Coturnix japonica: one gene and its partners. The protein of the gene in region 1 interacts with the protein of each later gene in a biochemical or structural test. Links are inferred from orthologs where the notes say so. Each region holds a gene or a part of one and is shown in the gene's direction. Other genes may lie near its edges. The genes, in order: CRK, DOCK1 and RAPGEF1.

Region 1 (3,749 bases):
ACCATCTGATAAGTCAAACACCTGGTGTTTTCTTATATATTTATAACTGCAGCCTCCCACCTGTAAGATAGAATATTTTTCCATTGGGATACTGTGAAGGTTCATACAAAACACAATACCAAAGCCACTCCATGAGACAGTCACAGGGCTTCCCAATGCCTCACAAGAAAGCAAAGGTGCTGTGAGCCAGCACATGCACTTGCACAGTTAAGGGCAGCTGTGCTCCATGTTTATGCAAGTGCTGCCACATGGAGGCCACACAGTTGAAAATACACATTCCTTTGGGGGAAAAAAAAAAGCTTATAGAATTGAGCAGAGCTGGAATGGAATTGTCTATGCAGTTATCCAGACTCTGAAGATGTTACTCTGGAACTTGAAGCTAATCTAAACTTGGTACCTATTTCTCCATCCTTATAATTCTTAATGGTGCATACACCCACATGCACATTCCCCTGCAGCAGAAATGGAAGTGAAGCAACTTTATCTGCAGGCTCCTGCGGTCAGTGATCTTCTCAGGGTCAGAAACAGCTTGTTTTTCCACAGGGCTCTACTTAACACAGAACATCTCCCTGGGAAGGGTTTTCCAGTGGTTTTCCATGCAAACAGCTGTGAGGCAGGAAAATGCAGCTGGCTGGGAAGGTGAAAGCACCAACTGCAGGTGGCAGCTTCTCTCTGAAGGAAAAAAGACAATGAATTGAATCCTCAATGGAGGGACAGGAAGATGATCAGGGGCTGGAGCACCTCCCCTCTGAGGACAGGCTGAGGGAGTTGGGTTTGTTCAGCCTGGAGAAGAGAAGGTTGCGGGGTGACCTCATTGCAGCCTTTCAATACCTGAAGGGAACCTATAACCAGGAGGGGAGTAAACTCTTGGAAAGGGCTGACAATAGCAGGACACGGGGAAATGGTTTGAAGTTAAAAGAGGGAAGATTTAGGTTGGATGTCAGGGGGAAGTTCTTCACTAGGAGAGTGGTGAGGCCCTGGAACAGGCTGCCCAGGGAGGTTGTGGATGCCCCGTCCTTGGAGGTGTTCAAGGCCAGGTTGGACGGGGCCATGGGCAACCTGATCTAGTAAAGGTGTATGTTTGGTGGCCCTGCCAGGCAGGGGGTTGGAACTACATGATCCTTGAGGTCCCTTCCAACCCGGGTCATTCTGTGATCCTGTGGGTGCCCAGACGGACCCTCCGCACTCACAATCAGGTCTCACCTACAAGGCAGCACACACACAGCTCCCCTCAGACCCTGCGCTCCACCCAACGCGCATGCGCAGCCCCCACAGGCCGCCAACCGTCCCCAAGGCCGCGCGTTGTGATGACGTCACGTATCCCCCCGCGTCTCCCGCGTGCGGTCACTTCCGGTAGGTGAGGTCAGGGTAGGGGCCGCCATTTTGGTGCGGTAGGGCTGGGCGCGGAGCTGGGCACCGCGGGCGGCGGCGGCCCGCGGGGCGGGGGCAGCGAGTGCGGCCTGCGGGCGGGACGGCCCCCATGGCCGGGCAGTTCGACTCCGAGGACCGGGGGAGCTGGTACTGGGGGCGGCTGAGCCGGGCCGAGGCGGTGTCGTTGCTTCAGGGGCAGCGCCACGGGACCTTCCTGGTGCGAGACTCGGGCACCATCCCCGGAGACTTCGTCCTGTCGGTGTCTGAGAGCTCCCGCGTGTCGCACTACATCGTCAACAGCCTGGGGCCGGCGGGAGGACGAAGGGCCGGCGGAGAGGGCCCCGGGACCCCGGGTGAGTGACCCCCAGGGCTGGCCGTGCCCATCAGCCGCTGCGGGCCCCGCTCTGCGCCTGGTCCCTGCAGCTCCGCTCTGCTCACGGCCGGGTCTGAGAGTCGTGGTGGAGTCGTGTTGTGTTGGAGTCGTGTTGCTCTTTGTAGAGGACTTAATTCAATCTCGCCTTGCAGCCGTTTCCCTGCACCTGCCTCGCATCTAAACGATGGGACAGAGCGCAGCCCGGAGCCGTCACACTTTTACAGCTTTATGCCTTCTTTCGTTTTGTTTTAATTTGTGGGTGAGGTGTGTCAGCGTGGAGATGGATCCCTGGAAGTGTCAATTCAAAGGTTGAATTGGGTTGGAATAGTTGAGAGTTAAGAGGACAGATTGTGAGGCTAAACTTAGTCGTGAATCAAAGCTGGGTGGGAGCAGTGTAAAGGCGTTTGTTCCTTTAGATCAGATACGGAATTCAGGGTTCCCCCTCCTACACACACCTTGTGTTGTAAAGGGAGATTTGATGTTATTCCTCATCAACCTCTAATACAAACATAATGTACTTAAGTTAACCCTTGAAGTGTTGCTTTTGCATTGCAGAAAGCAATGATTCTGAACGCACAAGTGACCTGGAGCCTTCAGCAATGTATAATCTATCGATGTGTGATGAGAAGGTTGAATTAAGCAGCAGCCCTGATGGGGGCATTGCTGATGTTGGCGGTGGAGCCGCTCCTGTCTGGATGTTAATGCTCACAGAATGATGTGGGCGAATTGCTGGCATCTCTGAGAAACCACTACAAAGTCTGGAAGGCTGTATAATAAGGCTGTGTAATAGGAGAGCTAATGAACCTGACGAGGAGTGAAGTTAGGACATAGGTTGCTACAGAGACAGAAAGGCTGTGCAGACTGTAGTTGATAAAGAAGGAATCTGTTGGTGGTGGGTGGGTTTGCACCATTCTACAGTGATCTCTCCTGATTGGGGTAACGTTTAGAATTGACAAACTGGGGAAAGCCTGAAGTCATTGGGTTCATCACAGGAATCTGCCGCTGCTGTAAGGTGTGCTTCAGTCACACAAAGCTCTGCAATGCAGGAGATAAAGGTGGCTGCATTGAACTGGAAGCGAAGCGGGTAGTGAAGTGGTTTACCACAAGATACATTCGGTTCCTCAGCGTTTCATGTCTTATCAAGGCAAAGGTTTATTTTCATAGGTTGATGTGTGAAACGTGTGGTTGTTACACAGAGCAGAATAAGCTTCTATGGTGATTTGTAGTGGAGTCCATCCTGAGCTTTATTACTTTTTGGAAGTCCACTTTTTCCCCACCTTGATGTTATTGGAATAGGTGCTGCTTTGCTTTCACACCAAAGGTATTTTTGTGCTGAAATTCAAGTGGGTTTAAATGAATGTCATGCTGATGCTGTGCGCTTTTCACGCTCAAAGGAAGAAAGTGTGTGTGTAGTAAGTTACGTTTAACCTGTAATTAAGAATTTCCTCCAGGGAGAAATGTTCTTTAAAGGAAGGGACGTGCTATTATTGCTATAAGGTTGAAGATGATTTCAGGTTTGGATGGGGAAGGTAGTGCAGTGAAATGAGGTAAATGTTCACAAGTAGCTATTTTGGAAAAACCAACTTTACCATGTCAGTTTTCTATATGGTCTACTTATTTTTATTGCAATTGATTGTTTGACAGATGCACACAACTCACTGGAAAGCCTAAATATGCCCGGTCAGGTTCCTGTGTTGATTTATTGGCTTCAGGTGATTGAAATGCATGTGTGATTTGTGACTGCTTGTACCCTGCTGTGTGCAGGTGACAGTAGGAACCTGACTTTAAACCCATCACGTCTTTGCAGTTTGACATACAAGGATAGGGCCGTGATGTCTGGTGTACACTCAAACATCTAAAGACATCAGGCCAGAAGCCTGAAAGCCTTAACGTTTTTCTTTATGACATAGAGAAGTGTGACAGAGTGGAAGGTGATGTTTTCAGTAAGTATTATGCGTCTTAAGAACGTGCTTATTGCGCTCCATTGTGATTTTCTGAAGGATTC
Region 2 (3,649 bases), on another chromosome or scaffold:
GTTTATGTTTACCAAGAGTGGAAAATTTGTTGAAGTTTGTAGTTTGCTGTTGAACATCAGCTGTCATGCAGAAACTTGGCTGAATGATGCTGCGACTCCAGTGGGACCCGGAGTGGGATGGACTGGGGCCACTTTGCAGCTTGATGCCAATGAGAAGAGTCTGCTTCCAGCGCCCTCCCTCCCATCTCCATTTTGTCCTATGTGTGCTTCTCCCTCCAGCCTAGATGAGGCGTTCATGGAAAGTCCTGTGGAGCTAATGGATAGAGGGTGGGCAGGTTGGCTGTAGAGCAGCACTGCTGGCTCTCCTGGCTGTCCTGGTGCTCTGAACGTGCCATGGGAGACACAGAAAAGTTTGCCTTTTTGCCAGGAGCAGCGTAGGCTCTTTTCTCCATCTGACTCGCTTCCTTTTATTTAATAAGTGAGTGCATCAAGGCATCTTAATTTATTTCATCTTGTTATTCCTTATGGAGTCCTGCTTTAAGATAGAATTTACAACAAACTGCATTTTCTTGATCAAATATAAACAAAGACAGCAAGAGCAGGCACACAACAGATAACTCCTTTTACTGTCTTAAAGGTTTCAGGAAGATTCTGTAACAGTTGGCTGTTTGTTAGGTTGAATTAAATTTAAGTTTCTTCTGTTCTTGAATTACAGTCTCAGAAACAGAACATCGATATCAACAGACAAGCCAAGTTTGCTGCCACTCCTTCGTTTGCTTTGTTTGTAAATTTAAAGAATGTAGTCTGCAAAATAGGGGAAGATGCTGAAGTCCTCATGTCTCTCTATGATCCCCATGAATCAAAATTCATCAGGTTAGTGTACTCCTGAGTCCACTCCCTTCTCTGTTCTTCCTCAGTCACAGCAGTGTGGTAGTTCTGCAGGATGGTGCAGGGCTTATGAAAGTCAAATTTCTGTGAAATGTGCAGGACAGGCTTATCTGGGAAGTAATGATGCAGCAGCACTTCAGTCGTATTCAGCACAGCATCCGGCAAGTCCCTTCACCCTGGGTACATTTCAGGGTCGTGCTCTTCCTTATCACACCATGTCTTTGGTTCCTCAAGTGCAGAGCTTAAATGAGACATGAACGCACCTGCAAGGCTGTGTGTGCTCTCTTGGCAGCAGCACTGACATCACTGTGAGCTGTTCCTGCACCCCTGCTACCTTGCAGAAGAGCTGCTTTTCTTGTTGAGTGATACATGCAAAGGAAAATGGCAGCTGTCTACTAAGTAAATATTAATTTGATTAGTAGATAGATTGGGCTTAAGATATTCTTCTGTAAGTTGATTTTATAACCGTACATTCAGTGAAGCCATTTAAAGAAAAAGATTCTTCAAAATGCTGTGTTTTTTCAGTGAAAACTATTTGGTGAGGTGGTCAAGCTCTGGGCTCCCCAAGGACATCGACAGGTTGCACAACCTCCGAGCAGTGTTCACTGTAAGTCTGGGTTGGGGTTGGTTCAGTTTGCGGAGCCTAAAGGATTTCTCTCACGTTCTGTGAATAACTGAGGAGTTATTAACCTCAGTGTGAATGGTGGAGTTGGCTCTGCCAGTCACAGTCCTGCTGGAGGCTCCTATGAGACATTTCTCATAAATGTCTCTTTAAAAACTTTTAAACACAAGGGTGAAGTTGCTCCGTGAAGGTTTAATTTACTAGAAATGACTTGACTTCCTAAGGAACTAATTCACACAGAAGTCAAGATAAGGCGTAACTACCGTTAGAAACATGCTTAAAATTCTGGGAACGATTTGTTCTTGTGCTACGATGACGAAGGCAAATGTTCTAAATGTACTGAATGGAACTTGTAATGCATTCGACTATGACAAAACAGTCTGACAAAACTTTATATTTCTAGGACCTGGGCAGCAAAGACCTGAAAAGAGAGAAAATCAGTTTTGTCTGTCAGATTGTGCGGGTGGGCAGAATGGAGCTGAGGGACAACAACACGAGGAAGCTGACGTCGGGGCTCCGGCGGCCTTTTGGAGTAGCAGGTAATTCTTGTTTGCAGCATCCCTAGGTGTCACATCGCATGGTTGCCTGAGCCTGTGCTTAATAACTGTTGTTTCCTGCCCCTCAGGGTGTCCCCTCACCACTCTTCTTCCTGCACTTATCCTTAAATTCAACGTACTTTGTTTTTGTTTTCAGTAATGGATGTTACCGACATAATTAATGGAAAAGTTGATGATGAGGACAAACAGCACTTCATACCATTTCAACCGTAAGTAACGAATTGCTTAAAGAATAAGCGGAAGTATAAAGATTGTGATTTTTTATTACAGGTTTAAATGTTGATTGCAAGGTGTGTTCTATAGTATTCTGAAGTTGATTTATCTCAGTCTGATAGCCTATATTAAGCATTACTTCTTAATTTTTGTTCTCGGCAATTTCCCAATAGTTATGGTACCATCAGCACCAAAAACTTGCTTTAAATTTTTTCAGTTGAGTTTTGAGGGTACATTCTTGGTTTTGTCCTGTTTTCCTTTTATTTATTTCTTTATTTTAAACATGAAGATGTCAGGGTTATCCCACTTCAGAAGCGCAGTGCTCGAAGTAGTTATGTTGCTGGTTCAGCACTGGCTAAGACTGAAAAAGGCATCCAATCCAGGTGACCTCTGTGAAAGGAGTTAATGACAGCACGTATCTTTTTCTTGGTAGGAGATGAAATGGCACAGTAAACAAAATTGTTGTAAAAGCAGTTGTAAAAATAAACGTTGAGAATTTGAAAGATGGCTTGATAAACGTCTTGGGATATTTCTCATTCTTTGGCCTTCATATGACCCTTCTCCAGAGCCATTAAATGGTTGGATGGTGAAGGAGATCTGCCTGCTGTGCATGTTATAGTCGATGTTGGACCATGGAGATCAGCATCCTGCTTGGTCCTGGTCTTGGTTTCAGTCTCCTGAACCTGCAGACCTTTTCTATTTTAACAGGGGAGAACTGTGGCAAAAGTTCACTTCTATCCGCAGTTCTTGGAGGTCTCTATTTTTTATTATGTGAAGTGTAGAAAGGTAGAAGGGATAGAAGGGATAAGTCAAATGCGTGTGTGTAGAGCTGCAGTGCTTGGCTTATTCTTTCTAAGAAATGTTATGCTGCCATCTGTTCAACACTGTGAAAGATAAAGTAACATTAACCAAAAATTCCTTGATTAATACGCTAATGGGTATTCAGAGGGGTTTTAGTAATAGAGAAAACCAACCAAACAAAAGAACTTGAAATGATGTGGTCACAAATTAAACTTCATTTTGGTAAAAAGGCTTTATTTTGGAAGTCCTCATGTTTGAAGATGAAGCGGTATAGATAGAATACCATGGTGCTGCTAGGAATGGACGTGTGCCTAATGTCTAAAATGGTTTTGTTTGTATGAAGCAGCATCCGTTGCAGTGAAAATCATAAGTGTAACTCTGTTTTTCAAGGGAAACAGACTTCGTTAGGGAAGAGCGCTTTCATGATATGTTTATTGTATGGCAAACAGTAGCAAGTGTGGAAATGTGCAGTGAAAATGAATCTGTGTGTGTCAAAGTGGATGCTAATGGCACATCTAGTTTTCATCTAGTTCCATTAAAATGGATCTGTTTTTTTTTTCTGTGTGTATAAATCAGGTACTTGAAAAGATACAGAATGTGATTTTTTTTTTCTTTTTGCTGCACTAAA
Region 3 (3,649 bases), on another chromosome or scaffold:
TCTTTCCCAATGAGCTAGCAGGGAAATCATGGTAAAAAAGGGCTGTGTCCCAAATAGCATCCGGTGGCTGATGTGGATGCCTTGGTGTGCTCAGTGGAAAGCATTGTGTTTCCACGTGTCATTCCCAGGCCCATCCCTCCTGTGTCCAGGAGAGTGTTTAAGCTATTAAGTCACAAGCCTTTCTACAGGAAGCAGTTGTTGAATGAATATATAAACATTAATCAGAGCAGGAACTGCAATCTGCATTTTTTTCACTTCTGTTTGAGAGCTCTGACCGCAGGCCATAGGCATTCTGCCTGCGGAACGTCCAGCCTCTCTCATCCCTGAAATCTGTAATGGTTTCATATGAAGTGCCTCTCCATAGCCTGGAATGGGCCGTGCAGTGCTGAGGGTACATGCCTGAAGAATGGGAAATGTGGTGGTTTTTTTGTGATCATTGAGTTGCCAGGATGCTCCTCAGCAGTAAAGTTCAGTGGCTGTGGGTGGGCTGTGAAGCAGGAATGGAAAGGCCCAGCCAGCTGCTTTGTCAGAAGGGGAGGCAGCAGCAAAGCTTGGGGCTTCCCAGATGAGATGGAAATGACGGAGTGGATTTGGACTTAGGCTTCAAAAGTCAGAGCTAGGTGGGACTTGGGACTCTCTTTATGGATCTGGCCCCTGGTTACTAACCAGTGCTGCCTGTAAATTGTTCATCCTGAAGCCTTTTGGGCTGCTGGCCTGATTTTGTAAGAAAGCAGCAGTTCAACTGCTGACAAGAGTACAGGGAGCTCACAATGCCCATAGGTCATTAATTCTTGAAGCTGAATTTACTGAAGAGATAATGGATGAAACCTGACTCTGTTAAGCTCTCTGCTCCTTTCTAGCAATGTTCAGTAGTTAATTTAAATCTCACTTAGGAACTACTTGTGGCATTAAAAGTCCTCCAGGCATACCCTGCTAAACTTCTTTTTTTTTCCCTAAATAGCCCCATCCAGAATGCCATTAGGATGTCATATATCACTTCTGAATTTCCTTTCCTCGTGTTGGTGATGACACAGAAGTTGTTGGTAACAGCTCAGCTGTATGCCAATGAATTGTTCCCTTCTGCAACATCCATTAACTGATGCCAAAGCTTGGCTTTCACAGTCTGTCCCTATGGAAGGTGTGTGGGTTCCCTTGTCCCAGCACCATCACGATGCCTATTAGGACTATTAGAAATCAGCAGTAACGTTAATCTTATCCAAAAACTGATCTAGTTAGCCTTCATTTTGCAATGCACATCTTGTAATTCAGAAAGTCAAAATATGAGTACAATTTTGCTCTGACTGTTCCCTTGAAAGGATCATATTTATGGTGGAAGGGTTTTCTTTTCTAGTATTCTGAAGTAGAATGTACCTTTTCAGTTTCACTCTATCCTCTTCAGATAAGTAAAAGTAACTTTTCCCTTTAAAATCCTGACATTTTAACTTTTCTCTCACTTTTTCTTCCTCTCCAGAACGTGTCATGGCTAGAGGAGAAGGAGAAGGAGGTCGTCAGTGCGCTGCGCTACTTTAAGACGATTGTGGACAAAATGGCAATTGATAAGAAAGTATTAGAGATGCTGCCAGGCTCAGCAAGTAAAGTGCTGGAAGCCATCCTGCCCCTGGTGCAAACTGACCCACGCATCCAACAAAGGTAGCTTTCCTTCTTGGGTTTTGGAGCTATGGCAGAGCAGCAGGCTCCTCAGCTTCTTTCTTTTTTGTATTGTGTGGCATGTGAGATGGAAAATGGTAATAGTAACAAAGAGGTTGTCTGCCATTCTTACTAAACAGTGGATAATTTTCAAGCACTACTAGAAACAAACTCCGTGCTGTGAAGAAGTCCATGCTATGGAAAGATAAAACAACTTAGAATGGTTTTATTCAGTCTGCATTCAGTTTATCCATACTGATAAAAGCCTGCACTGCTGACTGTTGGTTGGTTATTTGCTTTTTATTTTGTTTTACGGAAGCAGATATAGAACAGAAATAAACAAATGTACTTCAACAGATCAGCCAGTCTAAGTTCATTCCTGTGTGCTCTCCACAGACTGATTATAGGCTTGCTCTGATGCCTACTGTATTACATTTAAACCAGTTAGATGACGAGTTTGAAGTCAGAAAGGATGTAGAAGTTGGCCAAAGCAAAGCTCGACATCCACTGAAAGAATCTGTGGTGTCATCAAGCCGCAGAGATCTGCCTGCCTGCTGCTTGTAGGTGATGGAGAAACTGATTTAAAAAACAAAAGCAAACAAATATCATTGAACAATAAGGAATAAGCGAAATTATTACACATGCAAAATTAGACAGAGAAATGCACATACATATTTTTATTATTATTATTTTTTCTGAATCCTGCTGGTTTTTGCTGGATTCCTGTTTTCCCAGTATGTATCTCCAAGACTTTTGGTTTTGAGATGTTCAGTTGTACAGTTGTGCAGCAAGAAGGGTTTATGGTACGGTCAAGACAGCTGTAGGGTGCCGATATTTTATTAACAGAGATATAGTGCTGTCTGGTCCCAGTACACAGGACATGCTTTTATCTGACAGCACAAAGGGAAGGAGACAATGGTGAGTACCAGAGCTGTGACTGGGACAGGGGGGCTGCAATTTAGGTTGGGTTTGTGGAAGTACAAAGAGAAATAGCTGTTAGAATTGGAGCATTCATCAGGCTTCTGGATTCGGGCACAAAAGTTTCTTCCGTTGCTATCAGGTTTTCTGCAGTCATTAAATTCCTGACAAGCACCTGCTTTCACTTAGTGAAAGAAAGAACAAACTTTCCTGTTACATCAGGAGAACATGTAAAATGTCAGCAAATATTTTTAGGATAGAAAATGTCATCTTTGTAGTCGCTTGCTTTGATTTGTGTATCCGCTGGGTGATCTTTCCTACCAAGAATATATTGGAAATAAATATCAGCTAAGTGGTCTTCAGCAGCAGCAATATTTCAGATGGCTCTATTCTTCAAATTCCTCCTACCCTTTCCCTTAGAAGTGAGGTAATATAACCTTGACAGTTGGATATCCACATTTAGCCTGTAAGCAGAATTCCTGTAGTCAGTAGTCAGTGGAGTCCTCCTTAGTGATGAATCTCTCATTCTGGACTGCAGCACAGATCCCTTGTGTATGTTCTGCCTTGTTTGGCTGCACAGAGAAAAAGGGGATTTGTCATTCCCTAAAAGCCACGTCCTTTCATGACTACATATGCACTTTATTTATTTTGAGTAGTGGCAGGACACAAAGGGCTGCTTTTGATGGTAAATCCCCCTCAAGAAAAGAGAGCAAGACTTGTGTCAGTGTGGAAGAAAGCCCTACAATTACTGTTGGGCTTCTTTTTGCTTTAGGGGAAGGGTTTGCATCGAGGAAAAAAGTAATTAAATCTAGCACAAAATAGGCTTTCAATTACTGCCTCCTTAGAAGGAAGCAGAACAAAGATTAATCACAAAGAAATCAAAGCCAGAGAAAGAGATGGAGGAGGGCCCTATTTAGGAAATATCTCCCACTAAGTTAATTTTGTTTAAAATTAGAACAAATGGCAAACACTGTGCTTATAAAACAAACAAACTAAGAAGCCCTTGCTGCTGTCTGTATCCCTCTGGCTATAGGCTGACAATAGTTCTACCCCTGGTTCTGCAAACACCTGAATCATCTCACTT

Evidence for each region.
Region 2: the proteins of CRK (region 1) and DOCK1 form a complex in vitro, tested with the Homo sapiens proteins (3 studies listed by BioGRID and IntAct, with this or other methods). The link is inferred for Coturnix japonica from reciprocal best matches to the Homo sapiens genes CRK and DOCK1.
Region 3: the proteins of CRK (region 1) and RAPGEF1 form a complex in vitro, tested with the Homo sapiens proteins (4 studies listed by BioGRID, with this or other methods). The link is inferred for Coturnix japonica from reciprocal best matches to the Homo sapiens genes CRK and RAPGEF1.

What each region holds. Positions count from the first base shown.
Region 1 is NC_029534.1:3,973,224-3,976,972, forward strand, and holds the start of CRK (adapter molecule crk), read left to right. Parts: upstream 1-1,351; 5' UTR 1,352-1,480; coding exon 1,481-1,724; intron 1,725-3,749. UniProt on the Homo sapiens protein: Involved in cell branching and adhesion mediated by BCAR1-CRK-RAPGEF1 signaling and activation of RAP1.
Region 2 is NC_029521.1:29,265,323-29,268,971, forward strand, and holds part of DOCK1 (dedicator of cytokinesis protein 1), read left to right. Parts: intron 1-655; coding exon 656-813; intron 814-1,353; coding exon 1,354-1,435; intron 1,436-1,853; coding exon 1,854-1,989; intron 1,990-2,143; coding exon 2,144-2,216; intron 2,217-3,649. UniProt on the Homo sapiens protein: Involved in cytoskeletal rearrangements required for phagocytosis of apoptotic cells and cell motility. Along with DOCK1, mediates CRK/CRKL regulation of epithelial and endothelial cell spreading and migration on type IV collagen.
Region 3 is NC_029532.1:4,849,297-4,852,945, reverse strand, and holds part of RAPGEF1 (rap guanine nucleotide exchange factor 1), read left to right. Parts: intron 1-1,471; coding exon 1,472-1,650; intron 1,651-3,649. UniProt on the Homo sapiens protein: Guanine nucleotide-releasing protein that binds to SH3 domain of CRK and GRB2/ASH. Transduces signals from CRK to activate RAS. Involved in cell branching and adhesion mediated by BCAR1-CRK-RAPGEF1 signaling and activation of RAP1.